Linked DNA regions of Mytilus edulis. The protein of the gene in region 1 purifies or fractionates together with the protein of each later gene. This does not show direct contact. Links are inferred from orthologs where the notes say so. Each region holds a gene or a part of one and is shown on either strand. Other genes may lie near its edges.

Region 1 (7,897 bases):
TCCCACTGCTGGGAAAAATCTGTTAAGAAAGTATTAGTTCATTATGTAAAGCCATTATTATAGCATTTCAACTAAAATAGAATTTTCAGCTAAATGATAGCATCAAAGGCATAAACCTTGCTACTTAAAAGAAGCAAAAAGTTCATTTTTTTCAATTTTACTAATTAAAAGATATTATTTAAACCTATGTGTTTAAAATTTTGAAAAAAACTACAAAATCCCAATTTGTGACAAAACTTTGAATTTGCTACTCAAATAAGTGATTTAAAAATCATTTATTTCAGTAAGTCCCCTGACTGATTATAGAACTGCTGAATATGCAAATGTTAAATTACCAATATTAATTCAAATAATGTCCCTTGATCAACTTTTAGAAATTCAGCGTCCCAGGAACAAATATCATCTGTGCGTTTTTCTTTGTTTTCATCATCTTCCTGAGGTGGTGGGTCGTCTTTGTGGTATGTGCACCATTGAATAACTTTTTTTAGGATACCAGCATTTACATTAGGCAAGGGTACAGGCTCTTCATCATCCTCATCAACACCCAGATCTATAAATATACACATTAGACTACAAATAGACAAGAATGTGTCCTTAGTACATTGATGCCCCACTCGAACTATCATTTTCTTTGTTCAGTTGACCGTGAAATTGGGGTATAAACTCTAATTTGGCATTACAATTAGAAAGATCATATCATAGAGAACATGTGTACTAAGTTTCAAGTTGATTGGACTTCAGTTTCATCCAAAACCATAACCAAAACCTTAACCCTGAAGCAGGACAGGCAGACAGAAAAATGGATGAACGAATGAACAGACGGACGGACGCACAGACCAGAAAATATAATGCCCCTCTACTATCATACATGTCATAGGAGGGGCATAAAAATACCATATCTTTGTAAAATGTAATGTCAGTGTTAATACACTCCCCCCCCCTCATTTTTCATTTAAAGATATGTGTCTTGAGGGATAATTTTTTGAAATATGTCAGTTGAAGATAAATATGTATCAGTCCAATCCTATATTTTATTAAATTTTCCTCCAATAAAAAATGTGTTTATAAAGTAATAAATTATGAGAAATTACAACTTGATCTGATCAACATTTCAAATTTCAATTTAAAACCGATTTTTTTATTAATAATAAATGTATCAATATTTTTATGAAAACTCAGGCCTGGCAAAATGTTCTCTGATGTTGCTGCAATTTCATGATTCATAGCTATAGCTATATAAATATACCAATTAATTATGGACACATTCTAGATGATGAGGAACAATTTATATAAATTCTTTTCAATTACATAAAATTTTGTCATGTGTGAAATTTGTGTAATGAATTTTACATACATGACATATATAGTAACCTGGAATTAAGTTTTTTTTCAGTCATGTTTCATACTATTTTTAACAAAAGTCGAGCTTTTAGAGTTGCTTATGTAGTGCTTGTTCTACAGCTTTATTCACAATTTTTTTTCTCAATCAAATTTATAATGCATGCTAGCCTTTAACGCTACACATGGTAGATTTTATCAGTACACTGATCAAAATATGACTGAGGAACAATTTTTTCTTCAACAGTTTACCTTCTAACATAGTTTTAATTGTGACAGACTGTCTGGCTATCTCAACCTCAATTTCAAATATCTCTCCGTCTGAACTCTGTAACTTGATATTAGGCATCTAAAAGATAATAATTAGTCATAGTCATGTTAATCATCAAAGGTACCAGGCTTATAACTAGCCTATAACATTCTAAAGACGCATAACTCAAGAATGGTAAAAGTGACACAATTTAAATTAAATTTGTTGTTGCAATTAGATGATTTATTGTGATATACATTGTATTTAAGATTAAAATACCTGCTAACTTTTCAAAATGCCCATGGGGGTTTTACGTGAAAGATGATTCTTATTGTCCTACAAAACCTTCAAAGGGGCCTTCAAATATATTCTAATGTGGTTTTTTGGTTTCTTCCTGCTTTAACAAGCTCATAGCCATTGTTAAATTGTTTTCTTTAAAATAGTGGACAAAATTGCTCTTACAAAATTTCCACTTGGGAGCCTCCATGGGGGAAATCCCCCGCGAATAGTGACAGTTGGCGGGTATGGATTTATACTGTCTGTATTTACAAAGCTCATTGGAATAAATGTTATAAATGTGTTTAAAACAGAATACAAGTAGATAAATTATAGCTTGGTAGAAGTAAAAACAATGAAAGATAATTAGAGTTTGATAGCTAAAGCTGTTTGAAATCTTCTAGCTTTTGATTAATTGCCTTTCTCTGTCGTTTTTTACAAGTCTTTAGAGAAAAATTACTTATTCAGCCGGACAGGAGAGGTCCTGATCCCGGAATCCTGGGTTTGAAAACATGAAATCCTGAGGTCGGGAATTTAATCAATTTAAATCCTGACATCCCGAAATCAAAAAAAGAATTCCCATATCATGAAAGGTTCAATCCCAACATCCTGAGCTTAAAAACACCTGATCCTGCAGTGCCCATAAAGATCCTATCCCCCCTCAGTAATGTGATACTGAGAGGGGGAAACTTTTATTTGGTGTTTTGACACTAAAGACAGCAAAGTCAATATATTTTATTCTACATTGAATATCATTTTTGGGACTATTTTAATTTTGAAATCATCAATATCTTGTTCGATTGTTTTTTGAAGTAATGAAATTAATTCTCTTTTCACATAAAATGACACATGTGTCTATATTTGTAGATGACTTGTCTGAGAAACGGTGTCAACAAAAAAGAATGCGCCATATTTGTTGGCAAGAGCATACAAGTCTATAATTCAGTAAATATTTTGGAAAACAAATTGAATTTAGAACAGTGTAGTTCATTTTAAGACATTACTCTGATCTTCTGTGTGTATAACGGGGTGTTAAATCTTTGTCTTTCGTCTGAAACAACACAAAAATATATCGGAAACGAGCTGAATCTAAAATTTATAAGCGCCTCCTGTGATTAAGGGGCGATAATCTATTTTGCCTTTTGGATAGTTTTGTACTCTACCTTGATTTAGACGAACAACCTCGAAATTCCCGATATAAATAGAATTACTGCCCTTGAATAAAAGACAAAACGCTAGCTGACACTTGTTTTATTGAAAGACACAGAACGCAAAAAGTATAAGTTTATCAAAGTTTCACTATCTTTTATAATGTGAAATGGTTGCATGTGATATGATTATTTTTTACACATGCTGACTTAGAAAAATAGTCAGGCACTTTTTGACTTTGTTTACATTAGTTACCATTTAAAAGTACATAAAAAATCAGCATCATCTTTTACAAATATTTACATTAAAAGCATGTGAATTTTGTTTAAATAGTAATGTTGTACTCAGTTGTAGAAGTCTATAATTAACGGTTTTAAATTCATTAGCCTCACCGGACGATTTTTGAACTATGATTAATATTTTTTTATGTAGACTACTTTTCTTTTTTATAATTTTTTATACCATAGAATTTAAGATGTATGAAGGCTTTCCATTTTGCATCATATCCCACATAAATTTTTATTCACGTTAGGATACTTTAGTAAGATTTGCGTGACCTCGTTTTACGTGTCAAGAGAGCCACATATGGACGCAATTCCGAACAGCACTATATTGATATATCTTGCAGAAGAAATCAATGACAATAGTCTAGATTGATAAAGCATACATTAACCTTTATCTCAAACACATTTTCATAGGAAAATAAGATGCACAAGTTTGTTTTTTACTTCAATTACTTCAGCAGTGGTTGCAGACGAAATGTCGGTCATGTGTAAAGGAAAGATTTCTGATTTTTTTTTTTTTTTGTATAAGTTTCTCCTTTAAAGGAGCACTAAATTCAAGTTTATCCATTTCGGTGGTGTATTTATTATTCATCTATGATTTTTTTTTATATAGGTCAACATTTTTTTCGGAGTTTTCTGGACTTTTCAATAAAATTAACATATTTTCTTTTGACCATAAATAGGGTCAAAAGCGTCTAAAAAAGTCAATTGTGGGGTTATTTGGGCAAGATAAAAGGCATCATGCACATGAACAGAATCAGGAGATCTTTTTCTTTCTATATATTAACAAAAGAAGGCAATATGCACTTACCTTTATGGTTTTTTTTATAAAACTTTCAGGCCAGATTGCCGTTCTTATAATATTTTCAGAATGATTTTGTCATCGTAATCAACATTTCACCAAGTGCACATAAATTGTATTATCATGAAAACAAGGGAATTTTAATAGGATTTTTATTTATAAAAACATTTATTGTTAAATATAAAGGAATATGATCTCAGAGGGCAAACATTGGAAATCGTTCGTAATTGTGTCCAGTCGTAATTGCGTCCTATGGGGCTAATGAACTTGAGGATAGACGATAATGCCCTGAGCGCTTTACCGTCAGGATTCAAATGGTTTATTTTTTACTATCTTTTGCATCAAACCGATTAAAACTTTACCTTGATTTGTCTAAATATCATTATCGTGAATTATAAGAGGTCTCAGATAATTATAGGAACAAATATGGAAGAAAATTAATGAGATTCGTTCAAAATAAGTCTATTTTTTTTTATCGTCTGAAAGAAAGTGTACATTTTATCGTCATGCACCAAAAATAACCGTTAAGTTAATTTGGGCAAGAATTTTTGAAGGTAAGTACCTCAATTTCAATCCATATTAATCCACATTGATTCTGATTCAATATGAATTCGGTTCCTTACTGTTACTTGGAAGAAGAAGAAGAATTAACTATTTTGTTAAATTATTATATATTTATAACCATAAATACCCATTGTGTATGAAGCTGGATCTGCTCAATGCTGCAAGTGCTATGTATAGCAATACTGGCAATTCAGCTAGTCCATTTAGTCTGTAAAGTTGTTAGAATGTTAGAGTTATGTTTATTTTAGTTTTAAAAGGGAGGTATAAACATGATAAAATAAAATTTTTAAATTGTTCCTACGTATAATAATGAACATACATTTTTACTTTTTTGACACTGTTAATGTGAAAGTGTATTCTTTACATTTTTTTTTACATTTTTACTCTGATTTTTTTAATAAATATTAACAGTCAAGGGTGTAACTAAAATAAGTTATTAGAGAAAAATAACAAACATGTCGTTTTTGTGGTCTTAAATATCAAAATACCATAATAACATTTGTATGTTACATGTTTCAAAGGGACATTATACATGTTAATAACAGTTATATACAAACTTTATTTTGTTAAATTTTTCACAAGTTCTATTGATATTATAATTTTCTTTATGTATACTAAACTTTGCAAAGATATAGCAGTTCATAGTTTTCCAGTCATGCATAGTCAGCACACCTATGTTATTACAGAAAATATATTCCTGCAATAACCAAAGGGTGTTATTACAGCTTCTCTACATCTCTTTAAAGCCTTTGCTCAGAAATATATCACAATGTATTTCAATTCATTGTAAGAAATGATGATCAGAACTTGTAATGAGGCACTGCCCAAGATTCCAAGTAATTCCCAAGTGTCTCATTTACTCTCATATGATAAGTTACATGCCTGTAATAACTAAGCCTTGTAACATATTACAGCTTAATTTTCCCTAAAAGGCCTTGTCTCATTGATTTACTATGGTTGGTCAAAATTGTATTAATGGAATTAGAAAATTAGTTATCAACTGCGCAAAGTTTCAAGAATTCCCAAGAGCCTGCAAAAGATAAAATATTTATGATATATTTAACTGATAACAAACATATGTTACTACAGATTTAGGAAAAAAAGAGTAGACAACTCATGATAGTGTCTGTTATAACACATGCGTGTTATTTTTCTCTGATAACTTGTTTAAGTTACATCCTTGACTGATTAACAATGATTAAATTTGCTTTACATATATATCATAAAGTATCAAGGCATTATTTTTCTATGTTTATGTGCTCTTTTTGTTTCAAAATTTCATAAAATTCTGTGAGATCAAGGTATTCAGCAATTTACGTACTTAAACATTAATTACCTTAAAGTATTTAATTTAAATCTGTTAAAATCACCAAACTGGCTGTGTTTTTTTCAAAATATCTAGATCTTACAAAATGTACAAGAAAATTGGTAAGTATTATACATGTATATATTTACATTTATATGTATATCTGATACAAATGGTATACGTAACAGTTGGCCCATCTGGTATGAAATGGCTTTATTAATTGCAAAATATCATTGTTAATGGTACAAAATGGTTATGGTATGAAATGACTAGATTCATTGCTTATATTTAACTGCTTGTACATGCTAAGCAAGGAGACAGGGACATATATATGTTTATCAAGTGTGGTTACCATATGTGTCAATTGTAATAATTATTTATCATGTACATTTTTACTTAGCATTGATATGATAGCATTTGCATATGTGTAATGAGCGGAAGTACACAAGCCATAATTTCCCACCCGGGCTGATAGCCCATATCAGGTGCATCTCGTGCACAAAACCCATAATAGAGCCTCTCCTGCAAGTTACTTCCAGTGTTTCCGGTATCGGTTGTTTACTTTTCCATTGTGACGTCAGATGTTTTTTATGACGACGTCAAAATTTACGGGAACTTTTGTGTGGGTAGTTTAATACTTGCTAACAAATGCCATTGACAATTATGAATCATTTTATAGAACAACAAACATGGAGTAGTAATGATCGTAAAACTCTTCCAAATTTTCAATGTTTCAAAATGCCTCTATAGGAAATGTTACCATAAATATATAAGGAGTTAATGATGCTGTTGTTGGACAACTATAGTATATTTTGATTCATAATTTTAATTTTCTTTATAAAGTGTTTGACTGTTTTAGTTATTGCATTTTAGTTTATTTGCCTTATACATAAAACTATTGTCGGAAGTATATGATAAAGCGATTAATACATGGCCTTTTCCATATCAGCCTGGGTATCATCCCTCGACCCATATCAGCACCTTGACTCCGTCTCGGGCTGATATGGGGGTCTCGGGATGATACCCAGGCTGATATGGAAAAGGCCATGTATTAATCTCTATGTAAAGCAAGGAAAGTTTTTTACAAGCTGTAAATTTGTACTTTTTGAAAATATTTCCTTTATGTATACATGTACATGTAACATATATTTTCGGACTTTAAATTTCAATTTATAAGAAAAATGGTTAGGCAACCAGAGAAATATAAATACAGAAGATCCATAACTTTGCAGTGTATTACCTATAATTATTGTTGGTGACAAGTATAATCATATTTTTTGCAGCGACATTGGAGTTCTGTTTAGAAATTGTTGATACATACTGCACATTTCTAATGTACTGTGGATACCTTTATTTTCATGGAAAGATTGTATTTTTTAGATCTATATTTCATTTTGTGGTTTTGCCAAATTCTGCATTACAAGCCAAAAGAAAATTTGCATAAATTGTTGAACTTTTAATTTTGTAGATACAAGTTTATGAATCCTCAGTAACCCAATAGAGGTGCAATATAAATGTACAATTGCCTACAAAATTTTCAAACATCAGCTTAATGTATCAATAATGCACAAGTTTGTGTTGTGAAATTAACTGGTGATCGTGGTGATTTTGTATTAATGGATATAATTATTTTCTATAAAAAAACCTTCAAAATTCTTTCATTTTACTTATATTTAAAGAGTAGATCCCATGTTCATGATGTTATAGAATTATTTTTTTTACTTACATTTTTTTGGATGTCTCTTTTTTGTATTAATACTGAAAAAGTTATCAGATTTTTTTTTTTTTTTTTTTTGTGTATGTAATTCAACTTTGGTCCAATAACACTTTTTTGTCAGTCAATAAGTCATGATCTAGTCTGATGATCTAGTCTGATGCAGAAATAACTTAAATCTTGTTCCATCAGATTTGTATTGCAATACAATATG
Region 2 (6,964 bases), on another chromosome or scaffold:
TCAGACCGTCTTAAACATGTTTAAAAAATCTACCCTATTTTGACCTTGTGTCGACGGTATTCAGTCGTCTGGCATTTTATGGAGGCGTACTTCATATGGAAAGATGAATATGGTGTGATTACCAAAGACAACTCTCCCCCAGAGACCATATAAGTTTAACGTTGAACTTAGAAAATATAAGTCACCGTATGGCCTTCGACAATGAACAAGCCCATACCCGACATATTAAAGGATAAAAGGTCCCGGAATAACAAATGTTAAACAATTCAAAGGAGAAAACTGACTATCTGATTAACCTACAACACACTAAACGACAAACAATTAGAATATACAGCAAGAAACGACATCCACTAACAGGCTCCCGACTTAGAACAGACACATAATGGCATCAGGATTCATAATCCCTTTCGGGTTAAAAACAGCACGTAATATAGATCTCTAATATGGTCATGTAGATGTAATTACTGATGAAATCAATACAAAACGATAGTTTGATCACACGAGAGGAATTCGATATTTACAAAATATAAACTTAACTAGAGTATATACGAAACAGATTAGTATCAGTTCAAAGTTTCCACAGCTGTAATAGCAGACATTAAAAATAAATAGCACGGTGTGAAGAAACTATAAAGCTGGTTGATGTAAAATGGTCTTAAATCCAAGATTCAAAAATCTATAGCAATATCAATAATTGAGAACGTGGGAAGCTATAGCGACCTGGTGAGTCACCGCTTTATCGAGCGGTTTTATTCTCTCTTAATTGGTCCTGAGCATCTATATTTGTGTTGAACCACTCTATACTTCCAATCAACTTCCGTATGAAAATTGGTACTTTAAGGTCGATATATATATAAAGTTGTATAACTGAAATATATGGTGTTTTTTTTTTTATAAAATGTACAGTTTAATAGTCATAATGTCTGTTTCAGAAAAAATATTACATTAAAACTTTATTCATGCCAGTAATTCAGCCAGTCGAATTAAGACAGGCGACCACCAAAGATTGTCCAAAAAGGAAACACATGTAAGAGGGACTTCAGGGCGGTCCAGCCATTTTAAAAGGGACAGAAGGGGGGGGGTCCAAACATATGTCCCATTCAAATGGATTGATCGGTAAAAAAAGGGGGTTCCAACCCCCGGACCCCCCCCCCCATTTGGGTCCGCCAATGGGCTGGGAATGGGTTTTCATATCTTTATTCTTTGCAGTGTAGGGATATTTTCCCTATTCTTTTTTTATCTTCTATTCTTTGTAAAGAACTCCTTTACTCTCTTGGTGTACTTAATATTGTTGCCTTTTTTCTATACATTCTGTTTGCTCTTTTTTTTCTCTCACTATTCTCTCTATTCTATAAACCCAGTTACAATATGTCCAAATCAAAAGCCTCCATAAGATGAAACAGTAAAAATAAAACGACCATCAACCTAATTCCAGTAAATTACAATGTAAACGTTAACGAGACAGTAAACCAACAGCAAAACGTCAAGCATTCGAAGACATCCATGGTTGTAACTGTGCGGACATCAAGAGGGCTAGACGGCTTTAATTCGAGGTTAGGTTTGATATATAAACTTACCTATCAAGGGTCAGTTGTTCGAGTTGACTCAGATCACAAGCAATATATTCGAGTGAGGAATCTGTAATCCGAGGACACCATGATAGGTCTAAGCATCTTAACTTCCGAAGATTTTCGGTAATAAGTTCTATTCCATCGTCTGTTACCTTACTACACCCTGATAAACTAAGAACAGCTAGATTTGGAAGAGAATGTACGATATTCACAACCCCATGGTTTGTAACTTCCCAACAAGACTGAAGTCTAAGAACACTGAGAGAATAGCTCTGTTTGGTACTAAAAAAAGCTAAGGCAGCGTCAGTCACATGATAAGCCTGTATGTTCAGTTCGTAAAGCGCCGGAAGTAGTTGAGCAATAGCCCCAATTGTGTCGTCTGCAACATTTATGCAATCTTTAATGGATAAGGACACGATTTTGGGGTTAAGACATGACCACATACCCGTTTCTGTTATTTCGTTACATCCGTTCAGTTCTAACTTATAAATACATGGAATTTTCTTACACAAAATTTCAAGACCGACATCAGTTATATTAGAATTTCGTAAACATATAAACCTGATTTGCTTTTTGAATATCGCACAATGGTTAATAAAATCAGCAATTTCTTCGTCTATTGCGCCAAAAAAGCAAATCGAATCAAAACATCTAATTTGCAAACTCTCATAAAACAATCTTTTAAATTCCTCTGTTTTACCAAGATTACGTAGAATAATGACAGGCATTACATTTTCCCAGTACTTTGGATGGTAAAGTATATTTTTCCAAGTGTGACAAACTCGAGACAGCATGCCTCGTTCTTCAGCAGAAAAATAGTAGAAAAACTTCGATAAAAATCGGTCATCCATGAACAATTCGTGGATTGTATCAGGTTGGTGCCGTCCAAAAAGACTTCTAATTTTTCGTGCTATGAGTGGCTTTGGGGAACGGATCACACGAGCACTCATCGCAGAACTTCCGTTTGAAACATGTTTATTTATATTAATTGATGTTTCACGTGTCGTTGAAATTGAAATATGATTTGTTGAGACATGCGTTGTCGTCTGTTGTTGTTCCTTGCTGAATCGTAATCCTCGGATTCCATTCGATAATTCCATGTATGCTTTTCGAATCGTTGACATTTTGAATTTAATTTCCGATTGAATATAAATAAGAAATTAACATTTGCTGTCATTATTCCATATTCATAGATTCTGCCAATACAAATTAACCGATCAATGGTTATTTATAAGTCCATTTTGTAGGAAACAGATATTATAAAATCATTACTCACGGACGAAAATAGATGAAAACTGATAAGGTTCTATAAAAGTCAGAATAAACAATTTTCCAATCACTACTCCACTGTAAGAAGAATTCCTTATTTTCGAACGTGAAGTCTTTGTTCCAGTATGATAATTGACGACTTGGATCGCTTCACTTGAAGCAAGCGTGGGATCGATGTTTAAAACTCGATGGATCAATATTCTAATGGATGATGGTTATATTAGCCATGAAGGATGCATTACTATATGAATAAAAGAAGCTGTGGGGGTTAACTCAACAAGACAACAATCAACTGAAGCAAGTTAACCAAAATAAGACATTTATATACAATAAAAATAATTTATTACTATATGATTTTAATTCCCCAAATCACAATTTGAAAAGGATAAATCTTATATTTATTTTATTTATCTTTAAAAGAGCAAGTGCTCAAAAGTCAAAATAATTTATTAAATTGAATGAAAAACAAAGAATAATCCTCTTTGAAAATTTGGTCAATGATTTAGATGTCAATGACTAAGATCAACTTTTAATTCAAGTAATGAGTGTAAATTTCAGGATTAAAACAATAAATGTACATTGTCGGAAAATATGAAATGTATAGTTATGTTTTTATTATATAAGATATGATATTTTTATTCCAATTAAAGGGCCCATGAAGAGCAAAGTAATTTATTACAATGATTTTTAGAGTTGTTAACTTACAATAATGTTGACATAAACCATAAATGTGAATTTAACTATTTCAGTTCTTAAATGTTAACCACAGCCAGATCAGAGTCATACACATAAAAAAGGAATAACAATATATATGTATTATTATAAACAGGCAAATATTCTCAACGTCTTAAATAAAACAATATCTATATATATACTATATTGATAGTTTTCTCAGTTCCAATCGTCATGTTGTATATGTATTGGTTCCCGTTAAAAATTTCGTAATGAAGCAACAAAATTTTGTACAAATAAACTCATCATATATAGATACCAGGATTGAAATTTGTATTTACGTCAGACGAGCGTTTCGTCTACAAAATACCCACCAGTGACGCTCGAATCCAAAATAGGTTAAAAAGGCCAAATAAATACGAAATTTAAGAGCATTGAGGACCAAAATTCCTAAAAGTTTTGCCAAATACAGCTTAGGTTATCTATTCAGGAGGTATTTAAAAAATTCTCGCTTCCAATTATTGCACCTAAATGTTTATTGCAAAACACTTGGCCGTAATTATTTTCACTTAACATGTACTATTACATTTCATTGTATTTGATGATGTAAACATTTTTTTTTATGAAAGTGCGTACCAATCTTTTATCGATTCTGTAACCTTATCGGATATACATGTCACATACGTATCTAAAGATCTGGTAAAGGTCGTGTATATGGGGCGCCGAATGGGACTCATGTGATTTTGTACAAAATTCAATTTTGTGATGACAAAATTCATTTTTGTCGTGACAATGTCGTGACACTGAAAAGTCAATTTTGTCAAAAAGGTATGCAAATATAAACATACAAAATTGACTTCGGTTACCTGATATGGAAATTATAACACAAAAGTCAATTGTGTGAGACAAGATTCAATTTTGTGAGACAAAATTGACCTTAGTGAAACAAAATTGATTTTTGTGAGACAAAATTGACTTTTGTGAGACAAAATTGACTTTTGTGAGACAAAATTGACTTAGTGAGACAAAATTGACTTTTGTGAGACAAAATTCAATTTAGTCAATTTTGTCTCACAAAAGTCAATTTTAGAACTATAAAGTCGTGCTTAGAGATTAAACACTTTTATTATAAGCTACATGTAAATGTTCCGGACCATATGAGTATCTGGACCATACGCGTATGGTCATGACCATATGGGTATATACTCATATGGTCCGACCATACGCGTATGGTCGGACCGTACGCGTATGGTCGGGGTAATCAACACGTATACTTTTAAACTCTTCATTAGGTGTGACCCTTCTGATTGTTACGTCACTAAAATGTCATTTTATGTATATTAAAAAAAAAAAACAGTTTCGCACAGTTAATATTTCTTACTATTTGTAAGTACAATTATAAAAAGATGCCAAAATTAAATGAACATATTGTACAAGGAATTTTATTGTTTAAAGTAGGTGACATCACCGGCAAGGATCATGATATTTTTTAAAGATCATGATATTTTTTAAGACATTTTAAAAGTAAAATATTAAAAGTGTATGTTTCTTTATTTTTTCTATTCTTTTTTTCTATACTTCTATTTAATCTTAATTATAAGACGGTAAAATAGCATTTAAGAACCATGAAATAGCCACTGTCTTTATCTAATTTGATCTGTGAAATTCATTTTACGATATTGGAGATCTAGAGTTTCTCAAAAACACCGTAGACACATCGGAATTGTCCGAGTCGATATCACTGCACGCAGCCAAAACAAGCAATCTCAGAAAAACTACATGTATGGTACCGTGTGAATTTCATTTTAAGTATACAAAAGCATACACGAATACAATTAGCGATGAAAACTAAGATCAATTGACTGTGGCATCAATATTTAATGTTTATGTAGCTTTTGACATGTAAAATTAATACATTTTTTTGTAAACACATTTGTTTTTAAGATAAAGTTTTTTGTATTATTTCTATTGTATATTTGAAAAAATACCTATATGGTCCAAATACTCATATGGTCCGGCCCGTTAATAACCAAACGAGTATAATACTCATATGGTCCGACCATACGCGTACGGTCGGACCATACGCGTATGGTCGGACCATATGAGTATACGCATATGGTCATGACCATACGCGTATGGTCCGAATACTCATATGGTCCGGAACATAAACACGATTCTAAACACATTGTATTGAGACCCGTTTAGACCAAAACATGTAAAACAAAAAGTGCACAAAAGATGTGTTTAAAACATATTTTTTTTGAAAAAAAAGTTTGTTTCCAGTTTTTAGAGAAAAAAACAATTGTTTTTGATACTGAAAAAAAAAAATTGTTTGTTTCCCCAGCTCAGCTGCCACTAAATGTAAGCTAAAATCCAGAAAAAAAATCCATAGCCCCCTCCAGAAAATCAAATGGTTGCTGCCTTATTATTCATGTAAACATAGTGTTTGCTATAAAAGATTATACCCCTCTCTTGGGACCTTATTTGAAATAAATGAATACCTTTTATTCTATCATAAAAGTAATGTTTTCTATAAAAACATATTGTAATTCGATTCATCAGACTCCTGTAAATTTGTCAAACCATTTAACTTACTCATTAGACCAATATAAACTTATAACAGTGAAATATGGTATATGGATTGATATATTCATCCTTTTATAAAGCTTTAATTAAAGGAGATAAAACTAACAAAAAAGAAGATATTCTTAATTTCATTGACAAAAGTCCACCTGATAAAGTACTAGATAAATTTCATAAGTTAATTTTAGGGGTAAAAACCCTCTTGTAATGTAGCTGCTCGATCTGAATTAGGCAGCTACCCTATTGATTGCTTTATAAAAAGACAAACTCTTCTTTTTCATGATAGACTTTTAAGGGAAGAAACTAGCCCCTTACTAAAAGAAACACTAAATTTGGCAAAAACTTTACATAATGCAGGTATTTATTCTTGGTACTCCTATGTAAATCATGTCAGAATTCAAAATGATTTAGAAATTGTTAACCAAAATAAGGGGAAAAAAAATAGGATAATATACAAACAAAATTTAGAAAACTACTATGAAAATTTATATTACGATAAAATATTAAATTTACAAGAGAATTAACAAACTCCAACTTTTAAAAAAAAATAAAAAAAGCTATAACTTTGAACCATACATTGTTGTACCTACTTTCTCAAAACTTCGAAAGTAGACAACTAATTTGTAAATCTCGAATAAGTGACCACTGTTTATTAACAGAAACTGGTAGATACAGGAAAATTTCCAGAGATTTAAGACTGTGTACATATTGTGATGTACTAGATGAGGAGTTTCATTTCTTTTTTAAATGTAAAAAAAATGAACAATTAAGAAAAGAATGTTTAAATGAAAATAAATATAATAATTTAAATAATATAGATAAATTAAAACATATCTTCAATCCTGAAATAAAACAGGACACTTGCAAAT
Region 3 (7,863 bases), on another chromosome or scaffold:
ATTATATACAAGTCTTCTTTCCTGTTCAATATGATGTCTAACTACAGTCTTCCACTTGGATTTATCTACAGCATCTGTATCTTGTTCATAACCAAGCTTGTGACAAATTCTATTCCATAATAACTCATCATCTGCTAAACTTTTCCAACTCTTTGAAACCTAAAATAACAAACCATGAGTAAACTATTAAAGTCATTAAGGAAATTGACAACACAAAAAATATTAAATAATCAATGTGTGTCATGTGTCTTATAAATAAAGTAGATATACATATAGAGTAAACATCAACACAGAAGTAAACCAAAAACAAAATCAGCCTTGTATCAACATCCTGGTTTTAACAAAAGTATATATTTGTATCTGAAACAAAAAAAAATATCATTAGAGGTTTATCATGTTTATACATTGTATACATGATATACAGCAAGGGTCCAGAAACAGTCATATTTGCCAATCTTGTCCTAAACTGAAAGTATTTTGTCCTAAACGTGTAATTGGGATTTAGGTCAAATTCTATTTTTCAACAGAAATAATTTCGGTCATTTCTTGGAGATCGAGTTTCAAAATCACCATTTTGAAGATGTTTTTGTTTTGTTATCGATTTTATATAATTAACCTGCCACTCCAGTAGAGTGTTATAATCCTGAGGGCCCTCCTAATAACTATATTTAATGCCTCGGGGAGCTATTGGCTAATGATTGCTAATCTCTTTACCTGTGTTTTTAATTCACACCTGGTTATTAATCACAAGCTCTGAACTAATATTATAAAGAAATTAAAATTCCATACCAACTGTCTTCGTTATTTAATTACTTTTCAGCTTAGACAATTGTCAATTATGATTTATTTGAAAAAGTATTTTTTCACTACTAACACACGTGCTTTGTTTACCATGTAATATGCTTGCTTGAAATGCCCTTCCGCAGATTAGACACTAAATCGTAAATTTAAAATGATTTTATGCTAAATAAAGCAAGTGCAACTATTTTCATTAATATTCTTACACTTTAAAAGGTAAAATATTAAAAAGCTGATGATTTCCTGTGAATTTGATAAAAAATACTATTCCCGGAAATTAGTCTTTACATTTGGTTTAAATATCGACTTCAGAATCGAAAAAACATAAGCGATGACAGAGAAAATTATCGTTTTGAGTCAATAAAATCATTTTATTTTTAAACAGTTGCCTTCCCTTAATTGCTCTTGACCGATTTTAGGAAAATGGTAGGATAAATCATGAAGTAAATGCGATGCAACAGTAAACAAGTTCGTTGATGCTACGAGTATGAGCATACTGAGTAATGAGATATAAAATTTGGTATTCGTTGAACATTTAATTTCGTGTTTCATCTGTTGCCACGAAATCCACGAAAATTGTCCACAACAATGTCCAACAAATTATAATGAATCCACAGTATCAGGATGAAAATTTTTCTAATTTCAAATTTTACACCAGGTGCCAACCATATAATAACTACATATAAATATACATGATATCATTCATTGCACTCACCTGAGAACATCTGCACAAGTCTTTGAGATCAAGAGGTTCAAATATTTTTATTGCAACCTCCCTTGGGACTGTCAGATCAAAAAATGGAATTTCATTTATTTCATCCTAAAATAGAAATTAATAAATTAAAAACAACAGCAAATTGATTTTTATTACAACTCCAATTTGGTAATCAGTTCAGACATGTTAGAAGACAAAAAAAACTGTTGATTCTTTTCTATTACCTTCTTCTTGTCTCTGTATGAGTCTCCTTTAATTAGGAGCACCACCATGAGTTATGGCGTAAAAAGGAGGACATTTGGAGCCTGTATCTGTACAGATTAGTGTGAGCATTTGCCTACCCAATTCCCCAGCCAGGCTGTGACGGGTCTTATTACCAGAAAGTTAACCTTCCCCAAACATAATATAATGCAATAAAATAAAACATACTAAACTCACACACTCATCTGATTCGATCAGTCCTCAAAGTATAAAAAAGTGCAAAACTATATACATAAAATGGAACAAGGTCAGCTTGGATGCCCAACAAATGCTGTGGCAAAATACGCTAAAATAGTAATGAGGAATCGGTTAGGACAAAATACATATCAAAACCGACACTTTACCATAGAAGCATGTTTATATAAAATATGAAAATGCTATTTGATGAAATTTGCAAGACAATCAATTTTGATGTTTGGTTTCAATTCTACGTTGTTGTGAGAACTAAGATTTATATATAGGAAAATGTTAACATTTCCTCCAATGGAAATCAAATTCTATTGGTGTATCAGCATTATTCATAGTATTGGAAATATATATATATATAAATGTAGATTATGTAACACTGACAAATGTTGTATATTCATTAACTCTATAAAAAATATCTTACCAAATCAGCAATAAACAAGTCTAAATAGCTCTCTTTATCAACCTCCTTTCGACCTTGTTTATTGGAAAAGATGTCTTTCACGTCTTCCTTTCTGAATGCATCATATTTTCTTTTCTTCTCACAGGTGCTTGTCACTTTAGTATTTGATAATAACTCTCTTTCCGGACTACAACTTTGTTTGATGTTATCTTTTGAATTAAGAAGACCATCAACTATTTGGAATGGGTAGAACTGAGTGTTGGTTTTATGTTCTTTATTTTGTTTATTGACAAATAAACAAGTATGGCACTTGTTATTTTCCCTAAAAGCTGGGTGAACTCTGCACTCAGAACAATTTGTTGGATTGGAATTCGAGGTATTAGATATATTTTCTGGGAGGACAATATCGATTGCTAATGTAGGAGCAACAGCTATTGAACTTTGTCCTCTTTTATCTGGAATGACATTACTCCCTTGAAGTTCGTTTTTCCATTCAGTTCGGAACTTTTCAAGGTCATTTGATGCCATGCTATGTGAGTATGAAATATAAAGTTAACAGTGCATATGTATAGTTAAACTTTCAACGGGTCAAACTCTAATAGATAACATACTTCAATGTACAGCTGTACATGTGATACTGTAACGTTTGTTTACGTTCGTCTCGGAAGCTCTCTAATTCTTCATAAAAGTTCGATCAATCCGAAAAGACTTTTTAGGTCTGCCCTATTACCATATGAAAATTTAGAAAAATTCAGACAACTATTTCCGTAAATTATAAGACCGCATGATACAAATATTATGAAGGTCTTTGTGGGATTATCAGAATAGAAAATAATGGAAAAAAATAACATGTAGACAAAAATGTACAAGCGTGGTCTAGTGGTTAAGACCGATGGCTACAGTGCTGAAGGTCCCGAGTTCGATTCTCACTCGGGGTGCTAAAAATATCAGCACATCAGAAGGGTAATTTTCACCCTCTCACACACATCTCTGGTACCCAGACCGGAGTTTAAACTAGAATGGGTACTTTGGGGGCCTCGGTTGGTCAAAGTTGTCCCTTACTTTGACCTGGAGATCAATCTTCTGATATCTCTCTGGTTTGTCTGTTTTCCACCGAGTGGCCCGGTGGTTCTCTCCGAGTACTTCGGCTTCCTCCACCATAATAACAGACTGCCCGGTGTCCTAGCACTCCCTTTGTGTTGGGTGGGGATTGATTGTCCTTGTAAAAATAATTGTCGTATAAACATACGTTAGTGACACATCTCCATTAATCCCGTTAGGGAGTGTACATGGATGCCACTGTACCCTCGCAGTTTTCGAGGGGTTCTTCGGATATCGGAGGCATTTACCAGTACATACATACATACATACATACAAGCCAAGACAGGAATATGACAGTTGTTTTCGTTTGATGTGTTTAAGCTTTTGATTTTTGCCATTTTATAAGGGACTTAAAATTTCCTTGGAGTTCGGTATTTTGTGTAATTTTTGATTTATAATAAAAAATATTTTACCTTTTTTTCTTCAAAATTTCACTGTTAAATTTGATTTGAGCTTCATTGGGATGTAAAATTCAGCACCCAATCGTAACTACTCGGCCATTCTCGCTACGCAGTACAATAGCCTCGTATGCACTACGGAGAAATTCTTCTTAAATTGTTGGCCGGAATTGTAGTGATCCGCGACACAAAGAAGTTCTATCCTCCAGGTGGCGCTATAATTTGGTTACATATCACAGTAATCAAGAACTTTAACTCTGCCAAATATTTTGGCGCGAAAGAAGGAGCAAAGTAAATAAGTAATGGTAAAAAATTTGTACCATTCCAGTCGAAAAAATATAAAATTCAATCAGATCGGAAAATTTTCCGGACAGGAGCAAGTTAAATCAGTAGTGGTAAAAAAAATGTACCAGTCCAGTCGAAAAAATATAATTTTGAATCGAATCGGAAAATTTTCCGGACAATGATTCCTCCGCCTAATGCATACGAGGTTATTTCTTCGTGCAACCAGAAAGGCCGAGTTGTTCCGATTGATTCAGCACCAACAATCCATTTGCATGTTTGCAAGTGGAGACATGTGCTGGCTTTGCTCTAGTTACAAACAAAAGTAGATAGTACTGGGGTGCTGGTTTTGAGATGTAGATGAATCAACAATATTTCATATTACAATTTTCCCCCGTATCTTCTCCTTAAAATGTATTTTAATCGGCATTGTTTTACATGAAGCACGTGTAGAGATTAATACTTTTACAAAAATCATTTTAAAGGAAGAAGGTAATTTCCCTGTTAATATTTTTTTTTCTTTCAATAAACAATTTTTTTGATTAAAAAATAGCCATGGCACTTGTTATCTTGTTATCTTAACTTTTTACCCATTAGCTTCGCAGTATTAATTAGAGGATAGGCGGATTTCTCTTAACCCTAACCCTAACACATCATAACCTATCGTACTGACATAGATTATTTAACTACGAATTTGATTGAATACGACATGACAGATTGAAATGAACACAGCATTGACATAATAAAAGTATCAAACACAATACAACATTTAAAACCAACACATAGACTAAGTTAGTAAAATCATGGATAACTTGTATTTGTTGATGTCACAATCAAGAAAAATGGGTCGGGATTTTAGGCACGAAAAGTGAAGAATATCCGTGGTCATCTATATCACAGATATATTCCATACAGCAAATCAAATTATGATGGTGTCCGTTATTAAATCATCACTGAAAGAATTACTTACTTTTTACATTTAGGAGCCTTGATACAATAGCTTCGAATTCCTTGTAAGCAATAATGCTCCATCGAAGAAATCATAAAGTAGAACGCAAGCTAAGGATATGTATTCCTACAGGAATGTAGCTTGCTACATAACATAGAAAGTTCAAAATGGAGTAATTAAAATTATTTTCTTTGCCTTAAATTTAGCTCTCAGCGAACCTTCATTGTGAATATCTAGGTATAAGTTTTTATCATATAGTATAAACTTGAGAATGGAAATAGGGAATGTGTCAAAGAGACAACAACCCTACCAAAGAGCAGAAAACAGCACAAGGCCACCTATAAAGATCTTCAACACTATGTGAGAAAATCACGCACACAAAGGCAGGCTTAGACCTATTTGTATATGTGATTTGTCTGTTTCAAGTTTGAAAGGATCAAGTGTGAATTATTCAGCGAGAAGGATCGTCGTTATAATGTGAGATGAAATAATAGATCATATCAGAAGAAAATGACCTCAGTCAATTGGTTCCCACATAAATTCCGACTAACTGTTAGAAAACACGTCCTCCAAACGTATCAAAAATGTGGTCAGTAATAAAAATCAAGCATCGTAATGATTATTGTCAGTTTCACAGTACTCAGTGTTTTTGTGTGAGGATTTATCTCTAGCTTCATGAAACCTAAAACAAAATATTCGTATCTGTGTTGACAATTTTAATCATTTTTAAATCTTTCTTTGTAGGAACTAATTGGTAAGTTGTAAATTTGTTGGGCACAAGATGTTTGCGCTTTTTTTTAACCTGTAACACGATATGACATCTGCGCTCCACAGACTGTGGTCATCTGCCCTTTAAATTTTGATACAATTGTAGTAAAATTCGCACTGACACCGTCTTAGTTTAAACATATTTGTTTATAGGGAATTGGGAAAACAAGTTATTTCAACTTATATCAATCCCTTTCCACTTTGCGGGTGCGAGTGTTGTCTTGTAGCGGCATTAGCCTACTCTTTTTCGAAATCTACAAGGGTATCTTTTACGTGCAAGCTGAGATATGGCTCTCTCTTAACATGGGTCAGCCATTTAACGTCCCCTTCCGACGGACTAGAATCGATTCCTTCGAAGACCATACTCGTAAATGATGTCAAGGGAGACACAGTCTCAAACATTAGAGTATAAAAATATAGAGACAAGTACAGGAAAAAATGTTTATGTCACGATGGATTTTTACCGTTGAACAACAGTCGGCTTATAATATTAGCATTCGTTATATATTGACGAACAGACATGTCAGTCAAGAAATGAAAAAAAGAGACTAGAATCTATAATACTAAAATTACGAGGTCCAATTTGTCAGCCGTCATCGGGTAAAAACGACAAATCAAAGAATTCAACTCTATATATAACTAATATAGGACAATGGTGTAGATTAAAAATTACACCACTCCAGACCCTTTTGTTTTCCACATAATTAATATTGCCAATAATTAACAAGTTCCGGGTCGAATCCGATACCGATACCAATAGTATATTCACCTGTCAGCTATTACCTTATCTGTACGTTCCGCATTTGACAGGCGCACCACCAAACGGTGTATTTAGGATTTTACTATATATACGGGTCATAATCAAAGGGCTGACACTACTAAATTCAATCATTGTCAAATTGTTCCCTATTGTAGTTTTATTCAGCAATCAGCAAGACTTTCTAAGATAACTAATATAGGACAATGCTGTTGATTAAAAAATACTCCATTCCTGGATAGCCAGGACCTTTTGTTTTCCAAATAATTAATATTATTATAAATAACTGATAAGTTCCAGGTCGACGGGTTCAAACAGAAAGATTTGAAAGCAGAGAAAACTTTTTATCTTATAATCGACATGACTTTATCAGATGACAATACTAATTACTAAAATAAGGCTTAGGCATAGTTATATACTTTAATTCAGCCACGGACCCGCGATATCACGGGTGTGTACTTGTATATAATAAAAATGAGGGGAAAATACCAGTCAGGACAGATTACAAAAGCAAAATTGTTTATTTCTTGGGCTTCAGATATTAGGCGAAAACTGGCCTGTGATAACTTTATGTGTCTTTGGTGTCTTCATAATGTCAAATGTTCACTTTTAGGTATACATATAACTATATCAATGCGCTATAAAATTATTTTTAAACGCGAATGTGTTATAGAATGTTTAACTTTTAACCATAAAGAAATATTGTAAAATCGCAAATGTCTTATGAATTGAAGCGCGAATGTACATTAAAAAAAGTGCAAACGTCCCGATTTGAAGCCAGTGAGTTCATGGAGAAGAACAAAACGTCTCCGAAAATGATAATAAAGAACTGAGGATCATTCAAATCGAGAAAAAAAATAACTTTAGTAGAAACAGAAACATATATGTCTATGGTAGGAGTTTTTTTTTTTTTTTATAAAAATGTGTTTTATGTGAAGTATAAAGCAGAATTTTCAAATTGTGAAAAAGACTTTTGATCTCTTACTGTATATACTGATATGCATTTGTACATTAAATGCAACTAAAAATGGTTTTGAGAATTGTTCTGTATCGAAAACGTACTGAAACTTTGACATTTTTAGTTATTCCGAATTTTTGCATTTTTGGCGGATCCAGGGGGTGGGGGGTGGGGGGGGGGGGGGGGTCCGGGGGTTGAAACCCCCCTTTTTTGGCCGATCAATGCATTTGAATGTGGACATATAGTTGGAACCCCCCCTTTTGTCCTGGGTTGGGAACCCCCTTTTT

What was found.
Region 2: the proteins of S-phase kinase-associated protein 1 (region 1) and F-box/LRR-repeat protein 16-like purify together in Homo sapiens (affinity purification with western blotting; 5 studies listed by BioGRID and IntAct, with this or other methods). This does not show direct contact. The link is inferred for Mytilus edulis from reciprocal best matches to the Homo sapiens genes SKP1 and FBXL16.
Region 3: the proteins of S-phase kinase-associated protein 1 (region 1) and F-box/WD repeat-containing protein 8-like purify together in Homo sapiens (affinity purification with western blotting; 14 studies listed by BioGRID and IntAct, with this or other methods). This does not show direct contact. The link is inferred for Mytilus edulis from reciprocal best matches to the Homo sapiens genes SKP1 and FBXW8.

The regions. Positions count from the first base shown.
Region 1 is NC_092350.1:58,848,892-58,856,788, reverse strand, and holds the start of S-phase kinase-associated protein 1, read right to left. Parts: upstream 3,002-7,897; 5' UTR 2,869-3,001; intron 1,688-2,868; coding exon 1,591-1,687; intron 551-1,590; coding exon 336-550; intron 1-335. Other genes in the region: S-phase kinase-associated protein 1-like, read left to right, coding at 6,076-6,091. UniProt on the Homo sapiens protein: Essential component of the SCF (SKP1-CUL1-F-box protein) ubiquitin ligase complex, which mediates the ubiquitination of proteins involved in cell cycle progression, signal transduction and transcription.
Region 2 is NC_092352.1:75,839,593-75,846,556, forward strand, and holds the start of F-box/LRR-repeat protein 16-like, read right to left. Parts: upstream 3,028-6,964; 5' UTR 2,696-3,027; coding exon 1,578-2,695; intron 1-1,577. UniProt on the Homo sapiens protein: Substrate-recognition component of the SCF (SKP1-CUL1-F-box protein)-type E3 ubiquitin ligase complex.
Region 3 is NC_092349.1:74,090,863-74,098,725, forward strand, and holds the start of F-box/WD repeat-containing protein 8-like, read right to left. Parts: upstream 3,028-7,863; 5' UTR 2,892-3,027; coding exon 2,385-2,891; intron 1,619-2,384; coding exon 1,514-1,618; intron 160-1,513; coding exon 1-159. UniProt on the Homo sapiens protein: Substrate-recognition component of the Cul7-RING(FBXW8) ubiquitin ligase complex, which mediates the ubiquitination and subsequent proteasomal degradation of target proteins.